Linked DNA regions of Arabidopsis thaliana. The protein of the gene in region 4 interacts with the protein of the main gene of each other region in a pairwise test. Each region holds a gene or a part of one and is shown on either strand. Other genes may lie near its edges.

What was found.
Region 1: the proteins of AT1G61590 (region 4) and OBE1 interact in a two-hybrid assay, tested with the Arabidopsis thaliana proteins (one large-scale study listed by BioGRID).
Region 2: the proteins of AT1G61590 (region 4) and PKP-ALPHA interact in a two-hybrid assay, tested with the Arabidopsis thaliana proteins (one large-scale study listed by BioGRID).
Region 3: the proteins of AT1G61590 (region 4) and AT4G39050 interact in a two-hybrid assay, tested with the Arabidopsis thaliana proteins (one large-scale study listed by BioGRID).

Annotation. Positions count from the first base shown.
Region 1 is NC_003074.8:2,482,702-2,487,641, reverse strand, and holds OBE1 (potyvirus VPg interacting protein (DUF1423)), read right to left. Parts: upstream 3,189-4,940; 5' UTR 2,657-3,188; coding exon 2,634-2,656; intron 2,549-2,633; coding exon 1,449-2,548; intron 1,377-1,448; coding exon 766-1,376; 3' UTR 516-765; downstream 1-515. Other genes in the region: AT3G07790 (DGCR14-like protein), read right to left, coding at 1-151; Hsp89.1 (HEAT SHOCK PROTEIN 89.1), read right to left, coding at 3,672-3,848, 3,951-4,040, 4,138-4,243, 4,331-4,505, 4,596-4,698, 4,803-4,940. UniProt on the Arabidopsis thaliana protein: Probable transcription factor that acts together with OBE2 for the maintenance and/or establishment of both the shoot and root meristems, probably by controlling the expression of the meristem genes such as WUS, PLT1 and PLT2 and of genes required for auxin responses.
Region 2 is NC_003074.8:8,137,646-8,142,570, reverse strand, and holds PKP-ALPHA (Pyruvate kinase family protein), read right to left. Parts: upstream 3,387-4,925; 5' UTR 3,203-3,386; coding exon 2,600-3,202; intron 2,501-2,599; coding exon 2,410-2,500; intron 2,305-2,409; coding exon 2,111-2,304; intron 1,919-2,110; coding exon 1,797-1,918; intron 1,657-1,796; coding exon 1,178-1,656; intron 1,102-1,177; coding exon 800-1,101; 3' UTR 519-799; downstream 1-518. Other genes in the region: AT3G22961 (Paired amphipathic helix (PAH2) superfamily protein), read right to left, coding at 1-433.
Region 3 is NC_003075.7:18,191,249-18,196,094, forward strand, and holds the start of AT4G39050 (Kinesin motor family protein), read left to right. Parts: upstream 1-1,826; 5' UTR 1,827-2,213; coding exon 2,214-2,539; intron 2,540-2,667; coding exon 2,668-2,765; intron 2,766-2,847; coding exon 2,848-2,937; intron 2,938-3,071; coding exon 3,072-3,124; intron 3,125-3,498; coding exon 3,499-3,564; intron 3,565-3,661; coding exon 3,662-3,715; intron 3,716-3,937; coding exon 3,938-3,997; intron 3,998-4,166; coding exon 4,167-4,245; intron 4,246-4,339; coding exon 4,340-4,407; intron 4,408-4,549; coding exon 4,550-4,606; intron 4,607-4,687; coding exon 4,688-4,792; intron 4,793-4,846.
Region 4 is NC_003070.9:22,722,822-22,728,100, forward strand, and holds AT1G61590 (Protein kinase superfamily protein), read right to left. Parts: upstream 3,370-5,279; 5' UTR 3,202-3,369; coding exon 2,758-3,201; intron 2,284-2,757; coding exon 2,148-2,283; intron 2,037-2,147; coding exon 1,900-2,036; intron 1,795-1,899; coding exon 1,671-1,794; intron 1,304-1,670; coding exon 870-1,303; 3' UTR 547-869; downstream 1-546. UniProt on the Arabidopsis thaliana protein: May be involved in plant defense signaling.

The DNA.
Region 1 (4,940 bases), on a different chromosome or scaffold from region 4:
CCTCATCGAGAACTCTCATCCGTTTTCTAGGGTTTCGAGGAATGATCTCCGAGGAAGAACTGCGAGGCGTTGATCGGAGGGTATCATCGGAATAAGAAGACGGCGATGGAGAAGAAATCTGACGAGGAGAATGACCAGGTGAAAGAAACATCTTGAATCAGAAGAACGCGAATTCAAAAAGCACGAATGGAATTTGGAGCCGATGAATTTTGTCGAGAATTCGGACACTAGGGTTTGTTTTTGGGTAGACAGGAAAACAAAACGATGGTCGATGATTGCATCGGCGATGATATAATATTCCTTATCAATCCGATTATACGCGTTTTGTTTCCAGAATATTACATTATTTCCCCAAACGTTTTGATTCCTTTTGCTTTATACCCCGTAAGAAATCAAATCGTTATTATAACCCAAACATGAGGACGTTATTGCAAATAACTACTCTGTAATATCCATTTGGGCAAAATATTTTCTTTTTAAAGTCGGTGGCGATGTTCTTTGGCTCTCATGTTGGCTCAAATATAAACTATTTAAGGTAACATGGATCTCCCTCCATTAGCGAAATCCACAATTCTCTAAATCCGAGTGAATAAGTATCGAGATTTTGGCAACACTCTGTGTCAAAGCTTGCATAACATTATGGCCCAACATAGACGATCATGTGCAAAATTTGAATACAAAGACCACAATACTTCACACACAAATCCAACCTTAATTGATTCGGATTTTTTTTTTAATACAAACAAAGAGAGACAATACAAACATCTAAGGATTGGATCTGAAAGGATTTCGCTGGTTTGATCTTGGATCTACCCTTGGCGACGATGCATTGTATCCATGCAGCATTTCTCTGATCTTTGAGTACATCACTGCTTGTGACGCTTCACCACCATTCCCACCACTTTCCTGCTCTTTTATCTTTTCAAACAGATACTCTTTCTCTGCCTCCGCCTCGCTCAGCCTCAGTTTCAAATAGTTACTTGCGTATTCCTCTTCTGTTTTCTCCTTTTTCGCTTTCACAATCCTTTCCAATCTCTCTGCTTCCACTTTTGCCTCGTTTGCTTTTAACTGAAACATCTCTGCCTCTGCTTGCTTCAGCCTCACTATCCTCTCCACCTCTTCTATCTGTTGTTTCTTCTTCTGCCTCTCCATCTGCAGTTCCGCCACTTGCTTTGCTTTCTCTTCTACCTCTCTCTCGCATTCCTCAAGCCCCATTCGCGCTTTCTTGTACATCCTCGTCTTTTCCTCACCCACTATCTCCATTTTCCTCAGTGTTTCCTTTACAACTTCAGCAATTCGGTTGCATGCATCTTGAGGTGCTATCGTACCCCCACCTTCTCCGCTTTCAAGGCTCTTTGGAGAGTCCAATTCAATTTCTTCATACACAAAACATGGTTAGGTCTATAAAGAGTAAACCCTTATCATATAACAATAGCGAGTGGGCTTACCTTGGAAAAACATGAGTATCAACTTGGCCGCTGTTGCTTCAGCCAGTCCACCTTTAATCTTCTCCATAAGCTCCTCACACTTCCAGAAGAGTTTCCGGCCTCTTGTATCTTCGCTTCCACGGAAAATCCTACTAACGAAGTCAAGTTCCTTCATTAAAGATTCCCTATCCCAGTTTGGTGCACAGTGCTGAAACACATCTTTCACCCACCCCAGCAATTCAGAAGTATGGTTGCACGCTCGACACTTGAACAGCATTTCTCCCATCCCAGATACGCTCTTGGGAGAAACTCCCATCGAAATCTCCCCATCCCTAATAGCACAATCCGTATGAGTCCAATGAGAACACACGTCGCAGCCAATCCAGCGGCATGTGTTGACTGCAAAGTCAAACTTGTTACATATCACACACATGCACAGGTTGCAGAAGCCTTTCCTATTAGCGCATATCTCACAGGGACAACCATCAGCCGGGAGTTCGTTTTGGCAAGCTATGTTTCTGCATCTCTTGTACACAAAGATCTCGATGAGTGATGACTGAGAGAGATTGATGTTTGGGTGCAAGAATGCTTGGATACCAGTGTTTATAACCACAAGAACTTCAAGCTGCACTCGGTGAGCCCTGACAAGTGTCTTTGAAGTTAAATCAGATCTCGTCTGGACAAACTTCTGCAGAAACATAAACTCATCTATAGGCTGCGCACCATTTCCTTCAAGGATAGCCTTAAGACCATTCTTTAACTCCTCGAGATATTCTTCTGGTAATCGATGCATTCTCTCAGCGACTATGTCAAGTCTCTCTCTAGCTATGTCCCGTAGCGATACCTTATCAGCAATGGAAACATGGCGGATCACATGTTGATCATGAGAGTCAGGCCCTGTCTTTCCGCTATCTGTCTTCCTTCCCATAATAGATTTTGAGGTTGGCCAAGTTTCTTGAGAGCTAGCACTTTCAGCTGGTGATTCACGCACAATGCCAGAATTAGACCGTGACAAGTGGGGATCTGAAGATACAAGCGAAAGAGATGTTTGTAGTTGCTGACGTGGAGGTAGCATCTGGTGAGGAAGATTGGACCCAGATGATGTGCCCATCAATTTAGTGCTGCAGACACCAAGATAATGTCAATGTCAGATTCACCCCAAGGAACACATAAATCCCTAAAATACTTTACGACCAAATCACATACTAATTCAGGAAAGCCCAAAACATTTTGCAAAATCCCTAGAAATCCACCGACAGATAAAAACTACATCTCCTATGTTCAAATTGAGCTGAGATGATTAATCACTAGTGGAAGCTCAAAAAATACAAACACATGACAGAGTAAACACAAAACAAGCGCTAGAAAAAAACAAGTTGCTCGAATCTGTTTGCCCCGTAGATTATACGCTATAAAAGTCAAACACGAATCTTCATAAAATCAGAAAATCTTGCAAGTACCAAAATACATAGTCATAAACTGAATCAACCCTCAAAACAACGCATCCAACTCGATCACGAGAGTTATTGACTCTTTTTGTCACCGAATTTTCAGGACCAGCCTCGAACTCAACAACCAAAACAGATACGTTTTGCTGTATTCGCCTCAGACATAAAGAAAGCACCAAACAGACGAGAAAGGGAAAAAGACCGCCGGAAAATTAAGGACTCACCGGAGAGACGACGGGAGAGGACGAACGAGGAACCGTGACTCCGTGAGAAACCCAAAGGAAAGATAAATTAAACACTTTTTTGCCTGTTAAGACAGAACTATAAAAAAGACATACAGCTGCCAGTTCATTAATCTCTAACGGTTAACCTGACCAGCCGGTAACCTTCGACTTTTGTTGACTTTTTTAAACGCGTTCAACGTTTGAGTCGAATCTGTCCAAACAAAGTTTTAAACCAACCCAATTCGTACGATAACAACATCCCTCTATTTAATTAAAAATTACCATATGTCCCAAAATTTTAGTTTTGTTAGATAAAACTCGAAAAATCTTTCCAAAAACACCCCAACTGAATTTTTCTTAACGGTTATTAAAATTATACCGAGGAGGATCAACACAAACTGGAACAAAAACAAGCTCAATCAATTATTAATCTCTCCAACATAAATAGAGATTATCATTCGCTCATTGCCTATTGTTCTGAGTTTTGGGGTTCTACTTTTACTGCTACTACTAATAAAAGAAGAAGAATATGATGAGAATCGTAGCAGGGACATAAAACATTAGGCTTGTGTTCATTTCTTCCCATCCACTTCGACTGGTTCAACCACTTCAGCTTCAAACGTCTCTGCATCGTGAGAATGTGCCATCTGCTGTTGCTGCGGCTGCACCTCAGGGCTTGACCATTTCCCGGAAAGAGCTACATCCATCATCTCATATATCTTCCCACCCAGCTCTGCTGGATTATCGGGCTGTAGTTTTGAGAAACAACAATTAAGTTTTACCAGTATTTACTTTATTTCAATTCTAGAGACAACAAAAAGTTAAGAATGTTAATGTAGAATAGGACTCACCGTGAACCCACTAGAAACTAGTGCTGCGTCATACATAAGATCTATGGCTCTCATTGCATCTTCGTCATTTGGGTTACTATTGTAAGCAGCCTGCAGGGTGCAAGAAAAAAACAAGCCAAGCTCAAAAAGCGGCTCCTAGATTTAATTATAATAGCCAGGTACAAGTTATGATGAATGGTGACTTCACATTTATGTTCTTGATAATTGAGTGGTCGGGATTGATCTCAAACACTCTTCTCCCTTTCATGTAGTCGAGGCTTATTGTGTCACCAGTTGATTGTGCCTTCATTAGCCTGTCCAGATAACATATTCTGTGTTAGTTCACCAGGGGCAAAAAAGGAGAACGGAAATCCTTGCTTAAGAAAAAGGTCAGATCTTACCTCTCCATATTGGCTGACCAACCAAATTTACCAGATACAAGAACACAGGGGGAAGAACTAAGACGGTTGGAAATTTGAACACTGGCAACCTTGTCACCCAATCGTTTCTTTATCCAGTCACAAGTCTGTCCAAACTCTTTTTTCACTGCTGCCTCTTTCTCCTCGTTCTTGTCTCCTGTCAATACAAAGATCAAAGCCAGAATTTGTTATTATACATAAGTGATTACCTGACATGCTAAATCAAGGAATTACATCAGGCACTTGCCTAGATCCAAGTCTTCCTTGCTGATATCTACAAAATCCTTCTCCTTATAAGCTTTTAAACTCTGTACGGCAACTTCATCAATAGGCTCTACCAAATATAGTACCTACGTTCACAATACAAAGAAATACATGTCAATCACCTCTGAGTTAATAGGAATATTTGCAAGGAAGAACAAAACGAGGCCCCATTCAGAAGAACAACACATACTTCAAGTCCTTTCTCCAGCATCTTTTCGAGGAAAGGTGCATTCTTAGCACTTGTAATGCTGTCAGAAGCAATGAAGTATATGGCTTTCTGTTCAGGTTTCATGTTCTCAACATACTCATCCAAGCTGATCATGTCATT
Region 2 (4,925 bases), on a different chromosome or scaffold from region 4:
GTTGTTCAACCAAATCCACAATATCACCGCCAAACACCAGCTGATTTAGGAACGCACCGTGTAAACCCTTTCCCAAACCTTCCACTTTCTTCATCAACTCAACCGTGCGTTCTACGTCTGATTTTGCCGAGTTACAATCCTTCTCTGTGATAGGTGAATCTAATAGAAGAAGCTGATGGAATTCTTGGAGCAGAGCGTCGTGGTTACGAAGAATAGAAGCGACTTTGGTTTTGAGATCGATGTAACTTAAAGACTTAGATCGATAAGACTTCATTGCATTTAAAAATTTAACGATGATTGTCTTATCATCCAACTCTTTAACTTTTTTCACGAACTCGCAACTCCGTTGAATCTCTTCTTCCGAACAATCCGACGGAGTTTCATAAAAATCTCTCTCTTGATTCTTCATCCGAGGTCTCTTGCAACTTTTCATGTTTGTTCAAATATCTTCTCTAATGGAGAGGCGATTCTAATTGTGATTATATATACACTATTTATAATATAGGGTTATGGTATATATTCGAACTCATCCTATTTGGGTTTACATATATATCCTAACAAAAAGATAAAACAAAAGGACTAAATGATAGAATCGAATATTTGAATAAGATTACTGATATTATTGAAAACCAAAAACAAACAGTACACACTACAAACAAAGCTTACACATTACTGTTGTTAACAAACCGAAGATGATGATGCCTCTGGAATCTAATGTAAGAGTAGTCTAAAAACAGTAACAAAAGTAGGAAACAAAACACTCTTTTGCGGGATTGCGAAATTGTATAAAGAGAGAGAATTACGGGACGTTCATTACCTGGATTGATTGCAGCATGTCCGAGACTGCGATCACGAGGTCACCAGATTTGATCATACCTCTTGATTTCAGTAACGAGAATGTTTTGTTCAAGTTGCTTTCCATGTCGTCTGAGAAGCTGAGACGGAATGGGATAAGTCCCCATTGTAGGTTTAAGCGTCTTCTCACTGAGGTTGTGGTTGTGAAAGCAAAGATCGGGCAGTCCGGGCGACATCGGGAGACCAGTGATGCCATGTGTCCGCTCGTTGTGTAAACGAAAACCGCGTCCACTCCAAGATTGTTAGCTGCAAGTTTTTGGATAGTAAAATGAGACACTAAAGACATATTGCCTTCTATGGAAAACAAAGAACCTAAATTTACCCATTTTAGCAGCTGAGTTACAGATCTCTTCTGAGATTTTGTCTGAAAATGAAGAGCCTATGGCTTGAAGCGGTACAGACTCATGGCGTTTCTCTTCCCTCCACCATCTCTCGATTCTTAAACTGACAGTCCTTAGAACCGTGAGCGCCTTGTCTGGGAATTGTCCCATAGCTGATTCTCCAGAGAGCATCAATGCATCTGATCTTTGTCTTACTGCTTCAGACACGTCGGCAACTTCTGCTCTGGTTGGAGTTGGGTACTCAATCATGGACTCCAATAGCTGTGAAGCGACAATGACGGGTTTGTTAAGAGCTCTGCATACTTGGACGATTCTCTGTTGAGCTGCTGGAACTTGCTCAAGAGGTATCTGAGCTCCCAGATCTCCTCTTGCAACCATGGCCCCATCTGATGCTAGAATAATTTCTTCCAAATTGGTCAGTGAATCGATACTCTCGATCTTTGCAATCACTCCAATTTCCCTGCATCATAGTTGAATACAACATCAAAATAAAACTATAACTAAAGATGGTGAATACATGACGCAAAACCCAATCCCAAAGTAGATCATATGTTTCCTGTACAGTAGTATGATGTGTTGATATTGAGCATGTTTACTTACCCTCCACGGGAACGAGCAGCAAGATAACTTTTAAGGTGATTAATGACTTCAGCCGACTTGACAAACGATACAGCAATGAAATCCACACCTTCAGCAATTCCAAAATCAATATCCAACCAGTCCTGAATATAAAGAATTGAGGTATCATCAGTGAAAATGAGTATGTTTTCCCTCAGGTATCATCTGTTTTGCTAACATGGACTCATCTAGTTTCCAAAAGTGTACATCTTCACCATTGCTTTGATCCCTCCCAAATTTACCAAGTAAAGTGAATCATAATTCAAAGCTTAAAGGGAAGATACAAAATTACAAACCTTGGAAGAAATTGTTGGAAGCATGGCATTACGCTCTCGTACAAGACTTCCATCTCTCCAAAACGTCAAGTTAGCTCGAGGAAGCAACAATCCAGGATCGGTACATAGACACTTAACATCAGGACCAATCTTCTCAATCACTTCAAATCTCACCATCCCACCATCAACCAAAAGTTCATCCCCAACTCTTACATCTACACCACACACAAAGACCAAATGATTCCTATTTCATACGCAGTCACCATAATATTCATCTAATGTTTTCACTTCCACTTTTACATAAACATAATTGCATATACCTTCAGCGAAACCATCGTAGCTAACACTAATGGTACGTTCAGGACGAGAAGAATCAAAAGCTCTAACAGTGAAAGTCCAAACCTCACCATCCTGTAAAAATGTCATCACCACCAAAGCTTAAACATCTAAATCACAAACACAGCAATGTCTACATCGAATTCAAATCAAAATAAGAAGAGATTAAACAACCTCTGCTTTAGCTGAAGCTTCACCACCAAGATCTCCCATATGAATCTCACTACCTTCAGTATCCATCATAATAGCAACCGCAAAGCCTTTCTCCTCATTAAGCCTCCGAACACTACGAATCACACCGCGGTGCCAATCACGCGTACCGTGACACATATTAAGCCTTGCCACATTCATACCTCCCACAGCAAGCGCCTCAAGCTGCTCAAATCCACAAGTCGCCGGTCCGATCGTACAGATCAGCTTCGTCCTCCTCGTACTTCTAAATCCATTCTCCTTAAGCTCAGCTTCCGTCACAGTATCAACCTCAATCCCAGACGTATCAGTCGTAACCGCCGTAGCGACAACGGATCTCTCATCAGACTTCACAGCACCAGTACCGTTAGGTGAGAGAAGTACTTGCGAGGATGATGATGAGGACGATGAATCGAGATCCGGTGAAGGAGATGATGACGAGGAGGCTCTGATGGAAGTGTATTTGATGGTTGTTAGAGGGAAGCGACGGAAGGAGATAGAGGAGAGAGGACGGTTGAATTGTGAGTGAGGGAGATGGAGAAGGTGAGGAGTGTGTGAAGGAGTGGAGAATTGAATAGACTGAGACATGGTTTCGCCGGCGACGGAGGAAGAGAGATCGGAGAAATCGAAATCGAAATCTCAGGACAGTTGGCTCTGAGGAGAATGAAGGCGGAGATATCGAAGTGTGAGAGTGTTGAATTTGGATTTTTTTTTTTTTTTCTGATATGATAGGACTTTGGGAGAGAGGTTATATTTGGAATATTTGTATTTGTATTTATATATATATTCTATGTTTTGGTGCCGTCGAGGCTGTATGTAAAATAAGTGTACCTACCCACCTAAGAATGATCAAATTAGATTTTGTGATTATTACTATTATTATTTTTAATAAAATATTAAATTCGACCAAGAAAAAATAAAGTTAGGATACATCAAATGTAACTTTTCCAAAATTGTTTTGAAATTAGATTATACAAGAGAGGTTTTAAGGACTTTTAGATGCAAACCATGTTTGGAGATTTGGTTCGTATCTACTATATTTCTCCTTTCAAATGATTGAGAGTTTTTTTTTTTTCCAGCTTATCTATTCACTTAGGAAGATGTGTGATAAGAATCAGAGTTTTATTGTGTGTTTTTTTTATTGCGTTCTCGCCAAATCGAATGAACCATTATTTGAAAACTGTATTAGAGGAAGAATATATGGATTCTGTTACAGTGATCAGAAGTAATAATAATGACTAGAGCTTGCCATATTGTAGAGAATCGTCACTAGAGTAGTGGTTTCGCTAGGGAGGACCAGACTGCCGACGAGTACTTACAGCTGAAAAACAAGTGCTCTCGTGTCTCGATAAGAGTGTTACATAACACACATGTTCGATTCAAGTTCACATTCCAAGCCTTCATTGAATCTAATGTAGAGAGTCGATTCCGCATTGCTAGCCATATACAAAAAGAGAACTATCAACTATGATAGGATCTAAAAAATCCAATTAGACTTTTCTAGAACTATTATATATATATATATATATATATATATATATATATATATATATATATTTTAAATCATCGTATACAATAACAAAAATAAGATTCGTTACCAAAATTAGCACAAATTTAATAATAAAATAATCAATATAAGCATTTAATTAACATTTCACACGATCGTATTATAACCATGATTTCAAATTATAATTAAATTTGTTATTTTAAATCCTCAATATAATTTACTTCTATTTAATTTTATATACTTCTGTGGGCCGAGAAAATGTAATTGTTATAATCTAAAATATATGGAAAGGCCCTAAGCCCGTTTGAGTTTTTTTTTTTCTCGTTTAAAAACATCTTTGTGGATTTCAAGTCTTCAACAATGTTCGTCTTTGGCGTCGTGGCTAATGGCGGTGACGTGTTCGGTGCCATTACGGTAGAGGCTGCAGCCGTTTGGGTAAGTAAAAGAAAACATTACTATATAGTTTTCATTTTAATATTTGTTATATTAAAAGTTATTAATAATTTAGATCATCATATTTACAGTTTTGACATTGTTTCCCGCATACTTTTCTTCTTCTTCTTCTCTCCACCCATCTGCTTTAAGGAAGGAACCTCAAAAGCTTACAAAATAGTAGAAGAAGAACTTTTTTTGATCTCCGATTCTTACCTCTGCAATCTTCAGATTCTAGCTGATTCAAGGTTTGATCACAAATTTCCCGATTTGTATATATATAATTTAGATTTGGTTAACTTTATCGAATCTGGGATCGTTGTATCCAAATCTGATCTGGGCTTCTCTGATTCAATTACTTGGGTTTGTAAA
Region 3 (4,846 bases), on a different chromosome or scaffold from region 4:
CATATTTCTGACGAATACTTTTTGTTGCATTATCCAAATTTTTACATGTTCCCGAGCCGAGAGTCTAAGACGACGATTTCCAAATTATTGTCGTTGCTGTTATTATAATTGTTAATAATAGTAAGAATTATTATTATTATTTAGGACACGCAAGATTCCACATGATACTGCTTAAGCACTACGTCGAGCTAAAATGAAATACTCGATTTAAATGAACTACCCCATTAGTTACTTGAAGATGAAACGAAACAATTTGGTTTTGGTCTTTTGGATCATATAGTTAAACGTTATGTATCTTACTCAGTTTATTTTAATGAAGTTTGTTGTTTGGTATATCAATTAGCCTTAGATGTCAAATCAAAACGAAACAAAAACATGAAAATTCAATTTGGCGTTAAATCAAAATAATAATTAATATTCCATGGATAATTAATATACACTTAGCAAATTACCGAAGTACCCTTGCTATCTCGTTGTCGTCAATAATCAAAATTACAGTATTAACCCAATTAAGAGCGTTTAGCGTCTACGTGTAAAGCGGTATCAGGAGAAAGGAGCAGCGATCACATGGGTGGCTTAAATCTATATCCTCCGGTTCCTCACCGGCCAATTATTCTCGCGCGTGTCTCCGCTCCTCTCTGATGCGCGTCACTCAAAAAGTTTGAGTCAAACTCCAGTAATATTTTTGATTTATTTTGTATTTTCAAGAATTTCTTAAAAATTGCTGTTACGTAATTTACAATGCAATGTCTCGCGGTAAAGGTAGAGCCGGAACTCAAGTCAGATCAATCTCCGTGTATGATTGTGTTCGCATCCAATGTTAATAATTTCAGGATTTGTATTTTCCAAGTTAAAGGATACTATTGTTAACTAACGTATATGCTGACAAAAAAAATAAAAAAATAACGAATATTATAAATTTATATCAGTCGCATAATGAAATGTGTAATTTCACCCAGACAAAAATATCTCTACAGAACAAAAAAAAAACGTTTGTTATATATGTTTATTCTGTATATTTAAAATGTAGTCTAACGTTTGTTCTATATGTCTACAATGTGTATTTATATTTAAAACATATTCCATCCTTAATTTGCTTTATATTATTGTTACACCATTCATAGTAATGGAAGAAATATCTATTGGCATTCTATACTTTATGATATATATATATATATGAACCAAAGTATTGTATGTCCAACTGGGACATTTTATATGACGGCGGACGAATAAAGCTTAGCAGATATATATGTACGTGCTGGTAACTCCATATTCATTATTTTGGATTTAAGTTGTAACTCCATACACAATACACATTGATGGATTAGCATTGCATTTTTTTTATGGCATTTTATATCAAAAGATTCTCAATCAAAACTTAGATAGATTCCTAAAGCTTGTAATTAAAGCATCAAACATATTTGTTAACCAGTTATTATTTTTGAAATCGAGTAGTGTTTTGTTGATGCTACATATTATTCCATCATAAAAAGAAAATTAATGTGTGTGTAAGTGTGTTTGAAATAAGTCAATATCTTAGTACAGTAATTAACTAATTATACGAAGAAGAACTATAAGGGTAAAAACGGTAATTACAGTATTTGGTCAGCCATAGTTATTCCCGCTCGTCTCTTGAAAAAAATTCAAACCGGTAAACCATTTTGGTCATACACGTTACAGTAACACGGTGGTCTGGTCTTCAATAATAACCACGTCAGCAGCATACAGTAAAAACTACTTTAAATGTTTTTTTTTATTCTCACCCAAGAAAATAATTTATTTTTGTTTTGTCGTTCTCCTTCCTAAATAATTTTTCAACTACCACAATTAATTTAAAAATTAAAAATAGAGTATATTTGGAAAGGCACAAAAAAAAGAAACAAAATTCAAAATCTGAAATTTCTCAGCCTCCTCGTTTCTTCACCCAGAGGAGAGAGAAATCTGAGGAATTCGATCTTCGCTTAAAGAAGACGAAACAATCTCTCTCTCTTTCTCTCTTCAATGGTCTCACCATCTCTGTCTACCATCTCCTAGCCAAAGAAGAAGACGAGAAGAAGAAGAGAGGGTCACAACAATGCTTTATTCTTCTTATGTCTCCAGCCATGTGAGCTCCCACTGACACATTCTCTGCATCTTCGGAAGTTTTGTTTTGGTTTGATTCTTCTCACCGATTCCTGCGACCGAGTTTGACCCTCGAGTTTCGAGGTTAGTGGATGGCTTCATCCTCATCGAGAACTAGAAGCAGTAGACCTCCAAGTCCCGCTTCTTCCACTTCTTCTTCTCATCTCAGCAACCGTCTCATTCCTCGTTCTAACTCTACCTCTGCTTCCTCATTGATTACCTCCGCCGCCGGAATCGCCTCCCGATCTATGACGCCTAGTCGCACCTTCTCCGACTCGGGCCTTATCGGCTCCGGCAGCTTTGGAATTGGATCGCCTGTTCCCTACCCGTCAGAGGAGCTTCTCGGTGACCCTATGGACGATACTATTAGCTCTGAGCGGGATAGTATCTCCGTCACCGTTCGTTTTCGTCCGTTGAGGTATGCTAGATCTGATCTCGCCATGGACCAGATCTATTGCAGAGATTACAGTTTTCATGTAGATGCAATTGGAGTCAATTCTTTATTGGGGTTTGCAAATTCAAGTTTTTATCTTTGTGGGTTTGCAGTGATAGAGAGTATCAAAGAGGAGATGAAGTTGCTTGGTACCCTGATGGTGATACATTGGTTAGGCACGAGTATAACCCACTCACAGCTTACGCATTTGGTATTTGGTTCACCTCTCAATTATTCTGAATGTTTTCTTGTAATCATTGAGTGAATGTTTTCCAAATTTGTTTTGATGCCAGATAAAGTTTTTGGACCACAGGCAACTACTATTGACGTTTATGATGTAGCTGCGAGACCAGTAGTCAAGGCAGCAATGGAAGGTGTTAACGGTAAGTAACATTGCTGCAAAATTCAGCTTTACCAAAATCTGTATCTTTTATATAGAAATATCCTCTAAACCAATTGGTCCGCAAGTAGTATTGCTTGCAACATATTTTCTGACTCAGGGTTGGAATTTTGACAGGAACCGTTTTTGCTTACGGTGTTACTAGCAGTGGAAAGACACATACAATGCATGTAAGGGTTTTAAAAAAGAAGAATCCTTATACGCCTTTCTCTCTAGTTTTTCTTCAAAACACATGTGCTATGAATTGGGATCTCTTCTTCAACTTGGTCCCCCTTTGGTATCTGCTGGTTATTCTGGGTTACTCTAAACATTTACATGGTAGCAAAAGATACCATACAAATACCAACTTGCCATCATTAATTGGTGATGGTTATGTGAGTTGGAAATCCTCGTATGAATGGAATTTGAAGGTCTTCATTTAGATTGGCTGTGCTTATCTTTAGTGAAGTAGCTACGTTGGGTCTTTAGTTCCCGTCCAAACAAGTAGAACCTAAATCTGATGTTCTTTTTGTTCTGCCATTGGTTGCTTTTGCAATATGCATAGGGTGATCAAGAATCTCCTGGGATCATACCGCTAGCAATAAAAGACGTGTTCAGTATCATCCAGGATGTAAGTGGTCTTAACGGGGTTCATGTCTTTTCTCATCTCATCACGACTTTTTTATATGATTTCATGCTCGCTAACTGGCTACATTTTTATATTTCAGACTCCAGGAAGGGAGTTCCTGCTCCGTGTTTCATATCTTGAAATATACAATGAGGTAAGTGGAACTTTTTATCCTTGATATATTTACTTGGTAATCCCTGAAAAGTAGATATTTTTAGATTGGGATATGTTTTCTAGTTCTTCTGCCTTATCTTTGAGAACTAGAATGCTTAAAAATATAGAGAATTGGGTGACTGTTCATGATCTTCTTGGTTTTACATGTGTGCTTCTATGTTTCAGATATCCGCAGTTTATCTGATAACCGTCTTTGTATCAGGTGATAAATGATTTACTGGATCCAACAGGCCAAAACTTACGTGTTAGAGAGGATTCCCAGGTTTGCTTCAACCTCTATAGAATGCTTGGCTTTCTCCCATTTCTCTCTCACACACGCACACACATTGTGCTCTACTAGAATAAATGTGAACAAATTAGCTTAGAATCACATGTGAATTTGATATCATTTGAGAAAAGATATTGATTCGTTTTGCGTTTTGTTTTTCTAGGGCACTTATGTTGAGGGTATCAAGGAAGAAGTTGTTTTGTCTCCTGGCCATGCACTATCATTCATTGCAGCTGGGGAAGGTTATTAGATAATTTAACCCCTGAAACATGTTTTGATTTTGTCAACTCTGTCCTTCCCGCCTCTACTTAACATTGCTGTTGTTTTTAATTGCAGAACATCGTCATGTTGGTTCAAATAATTTCAATTTGTTGAGCAGCAGAAGTCACACTATATTTACACTGGTACGTCTTCATGCTCCAAGCTCCAAGAGCTTGTCATATTGTAATTTGTAGCCTCTTTTCAGTGTCTCGGCATGATGTTTTGCTCTTACAAGGTGTCCTTACAATGTACATGTTTTGAAGTCTAATTTGTATGTGTTTGCAGATGGTTGAAAGTAGTGCTACTGGAGATGAATATGATGGAGTTATCTTTTCTCAACTCGTAAGGGCCTCTTTCTTTTTGTTATTGTATAAGATCAATTAGTTTTGAAAATGGGACCTAACTGTATATTTTCTTGTTTAGAATTTGATTGACTTAGCTGGATCTGAGAGTTCGAAAACTGAAACAACTGGATTGAGGAGGAAGGAGGGTTCATACATCAACAAGAGTCTTCTAACTCTTGGAACTGTAGGTGTCTATTTTTGATTCGAGCTATCTTTCTATTTTTCATCTGTTTCTTTA
Region 4 (5,279 bases):
GAGACTCCGGCCTTGATTTTATAAAGTATCTCCGAGGGTTCTCATTTTGAATCATAAACCAGAACTACCTTGAGAGTATATCATAATCAAAACACACATTTTTACAACATACTACAAAACTTAAGCAGCTAGAGAATGTGAAACTATGATCAACCAAGGCAAATTACGAAAATTTAACAGACAAAGCGCACATAAATTGAAACCTAATGATGAAAATCAAATGAGGTAAGAGATGAACCAGTGTCCTGATTCCTGAAGCAAGATCGAAAGAATCAAGAGAAACTTTATGTACCTTTAAGTCGGCGATATGAGTAGAGATATTAATGTTTGGGGTAAAATGAAAACTGAAATAAGGTATTTATACTTTCTCTGAAACCTAGGGCTTCTGAATTACGGGTTACGCCTTCTATGGGCTTGGCTTATGGTTAGGGTCAAGTAGCCCGGCCCATTTAGTTTTAATTAATTAGCATATATCCAAAATATTGCATTAAAACTATTTAAAAAAAATTCTAGAATCTGATCAAATGAAAGAGTGTATTTAAAAGACCTCAATCTATTACGCAAACATATGTTAGATGATATGATATTACTAGATCCAATTAAGTGATACTATACACCATGAATGATCTACAGATGTGATATTCACAATGAAAAACGCAAAACTATATCAAAGCCAATTGGATTAAATATTTTATACGAAAACCCTAATCTACAATATTTATATATTCATATCATTGTTTTTTCTTAGTGAGAGTCATATGTCTCTCACTATGTCACTCTTAGACGTATGACCGTATACACACATACACACACACCACATCACACATGTTATTTTCTCTCTTTTTTTATAAGGTCATTCAACCCTAAGTTCACGATCTTAACGAACCCGGAGCTGATTTTCTACCACTCCGATGATCCCCTCGAACCTTCGGGGAAACCTTCCCGCCCTGAGATTTAGGAGACAGTGGCCAATGACCAGAAGAAACCGCCATGTCCTTATAATGTATGAGACTCTCTAGAGCTTCCACAACGGCAAGCATTTTGGGCCGGTCTTTAGGGTTTGGGCTCACACATTGTAAGGCTAGAAGAGCTGTATCTTTAGCCGCCTTGACGGAGTATTGTCCAGCGAGCCTCGGGTCCATAACACATCGGAGTCGGCGGCTGCTTGTTAGATAAGGCTTTGACCAGTCGATGATGTTCTGCTGGTTTTTTGGCCGTGACTTTTCTGTGGCTCTTCTTCCCGTTAGGAGCTCGAGTAAAACGACGCCATAACTATACACGTCACTCTTTGTTGTTAAATGCCCTGAAAATAATGCTCACATGCGTTAGATAATTAATCAAAATTAGATTCTGATTACACCATGACTATGTCCACTCTTATTAATAAAGCTCTGTTGAGTTAAGAAAAGAAAAATTAATCAAAAATTAGAATCCCATAAAATTAATTAATTCCTATTCATTCAAATTTTGACGCATTACAGATTTATATGTTTTACTTATTTCTATGTTCTGTGTAATCCTCAAAATGACTCTATCAAAATGGTCTCTTTGTAAGAGAAAGCAATGGAAGATATATATATGAGAAGGAAACTATATCCTTTTTTTTAAAAGGACCCTAATGATTTGAATAAATACTGAAAAAACAGACAATGAAATCATTGTGTATAAACCTGTTGAAACATATTCAGGAGCAGCATAACCATAAGTGCCCATGACTCGAGTTGTGACATGAGATTTGGATCCTTCTGGTCCCATTTTTGCCAACCCAAAATCTGAGAGTTTTGCAGTAAAATCCTGAAAACCCCCATGTAATAATAAGAAAATATATTTTTGAAGAATGTATTTAGGATAATTTTGTACGCTGAAAAAAAAAAAATCAAACTAAAATTAGTAAATTACCGAATCAAGTAGTATATTAGAAGTTTTGAAATCACGGTAAATGATTGGACTCTCCAAATCATGCAAAAACGCCAAACCCTTAGCAGCTGCGACCGCTATCTTCAGCCGCGTCGCCCACGGCAACGATAGTGATATCCCTGACAATTTAATTACGTTAATATGAAAGTAAAATGAAATACTGATCACTTAATACAGTAAAAATTACATTAAGATACGAATTAAATTTTAATTATTAAAAATGTTCTTACGTCTGAAGAGGTGATTTTCTAGGCTACCACGTGGCATAAACTCGTAGATGAGTACTCGTTCCTCTTCTTCGCAGCAGTAACCAATAAGTTTGACTAAATTCGGGTGTTTTAGCTGTCCAAGAAATATGACCTCAGACTGCATATGAACCAAAAACATATTATGTATCAGATGTTTTTAATTAATTATATTCTTAGAGACTAAATTAAGATGATAGGTGTATATAAGAGTATACGAAAGTGGTCTAACCAACTCTTACATATATCAGACTAACAAGAAAAAGATTCTCTTACAATGTACGTGACACCAAAAAAAGAAACAACAAGCTCGTATCGTATGCGTACTTAATTAGTCCATATTATGACCAAACACATTTTTTAATATAGTTTCCTAGCCTAAAGTAATTAAAAATAAATGAGTCCAAAGAATCTTCAAAATATAAAAACCATGAGGAGTGGTTTGTAATTTTAGAATAATATTTGGGATGTCCTATAACTTAAACCATATACGTATGCGTAATCAAATGTATGTCATAACTAAATAATAATTACTGAACAGTAACAAGAAAAATAACACAATAATTAGCATGCAATTATTGGTAAACGTTCTTACAAGCCATTCACGATGTCCTTGAAGCCCCTCAATGTCCAATAGCTTGACAGCAACAGGCTGAGCCTTGAGACTTTGTCGGAGATAATCATCAACATAACCTTTATACACTTTACCGAACCCACCTTCTCCGAGAAGATAGTTCCCGGAGAAACTCTGAGTGATCATCTTGAGTTCACACATCTGAAAATCCACTAAGTCGGCTCCAAGAGTCTGTGCAAGATCTTCATTGATCCTAGCCGAAGAAGAACGGCTTAGATCAGCAAAGGAGAGTCGCCGAAAAGAAGGAAGTGGTCCGAGATGGTTCTTGGAGAATTCTGATCTCGAAGGTCGGCAACGGCTGAGATTGCCAAAGACGGTTTGGTCATCAACGGAACAACAGTTTGAGGCAAAGGGTTTCCATAACGGTGAGGATTTGGTGGATGCAGTTGTTGAAGAGTCTCTCATTGGATTTAACTAAATGTTTTTTTTTTTTTTGTGTTGTAAGATTTTAGGAGGCAAAACAATGATGGATGGGTTGGGTCTTATTTATACATATGAGATAGGGACGGACTATGCTTATATAAGTATAATAAATAAATGTAACTATCATATAGGTCACAATGTAATACGTAACGGTTAATTTATGACACTTAAATGTATATTGCATGATCGTGTTTTTTTTGACACGATATTTGAATTCGGATACTTTGATCTAATGGATTTTTGGTTGGTTATAGAAACATTAAAACTATAAAATGTTCTATAGTAGTAACCTCTAATTAAAACCAACAAACTAACAGATCCAATTATACTCATCACATTACAGTATTTCCGAAAAAAACATGGAAAAATAAATTCAATAGTTTTGCAACTTTTGCTATCTAACTTTTAGACTCACACAAACTTATTATTTGAATAACGATTAGAAAATGTGAAATAGCGGTTTTGTTTTCTAGCTTTCGATTAAGGATAAGCTGATAAATAAAGGATGAAGAGGAAAGAGTAGGGACGTTCTTTCATCAACTGCCCTAACCACTCTACTCAAAATTTGGGGTTTTGCGTCATGATGTCTTCTCTTTTGACTCCATTGTAAAGATATATGTACATGTGGTATCACATTTGACTCGGAAAAACAAAATATATCTTAGTAAATTTGAAGATACAATATTGTTAGCGTAAGCGATTTAAAAATTACGGACTAGTTTGGAGTTATCAAATCATTAACTAATAAGTGTAGTGGATTTGTTATATTAGTCAAACAAGTTGGAGACGATTTTTTAAGGGGAAGCTTTTTTATCACTACATATTTCACTTAATGGCTAAATTAAGATTTTAACTTAGTTTTGGCTCTGAAGATCCAGTTACAAGAGAAAGAGAGATTACGAGAAATTAATCAATTGTAATCAAAGATGTTGTTTGATAAAATTTATAAGTTTTTAGCTTTACGAAATGCCAATAAATGTATATTACGAAAAATGTAGGAGTAGAAAAAACATTTAGTTATGTTGGAATAAATTGATAGATAATGTTTTTAATTTATTTTTATTATGACATAAACCTATTAGGCCATGGTTACGTCTTCGGCCAGGGTTACCTCCACCTCTAACAAAGGTCTATTGCATTTTTGGGTCTTAAGGGTTAGTTAATTTGACTGAATGACAGATCATTCAGGAAAAATTCTCTGATCGGATTTGATATATCCAGAAAGGACTCTGAGTTAAGTGTGAACTTCCATTCCAATAATAGAAATATATTTACTTTAGTTGATCCACAGTTTGGTCATTGACCTATACCCAAATATTTCATTTTATTGTTAAGGAAAATATTTTTATATCATATTACTGTGGGGTTTATAGTGTGTACAAGGATATTTCCTCAACGGATGGTTTTTGGTTTTCAGTTTTGTTTACATCTTAATTAATTTCTTATTATTTTTTCTTGTGAAAAATCATAGGAGCAGTTAAAGTGAGATAATGGATGATGTATGCAGAAATGGATAATGTCTACTATAACAAAACTTTATCATTTCCATTACGCTTCTTCCTGCTCCACTTTTCAAAACTATTGGCTTATTCTACTCCATCTTTTCTTTTTTTTTGTTCCTTGATCAACCATATGTGGTATCCTAAAATTATTTTTTCTTCTGTGTACAGTGTACATATATAGTTTCAAATACAAACCACTTAATAAATTAACTCGAATAGCTAATGTCGATAAAAATTTCTTAACACATCCGCATATTTTCCATGCATGGTTATGGTTCATGATTGTCTTATAAAGTAAGGTTCATGGATATAGACATATAGTTATTGTATGTTTATATCACTTATATGTAAAAATTAGATAGCATGCTCGCGAAGTAACAAAGTAATAGGGTTATAAGATAACAAGTGTTTAAACAAGGACTGAGTATGTTAGTTATTATACGTGATTGAGTATTAAGATGAATGCTTGTGTAAACCATTTTTAGTTTACATGAGACTATGTATAATCAACCTTTCAGAAAAATTTATATGACTAGATTGCAGGCCCGGCTCTAGGGG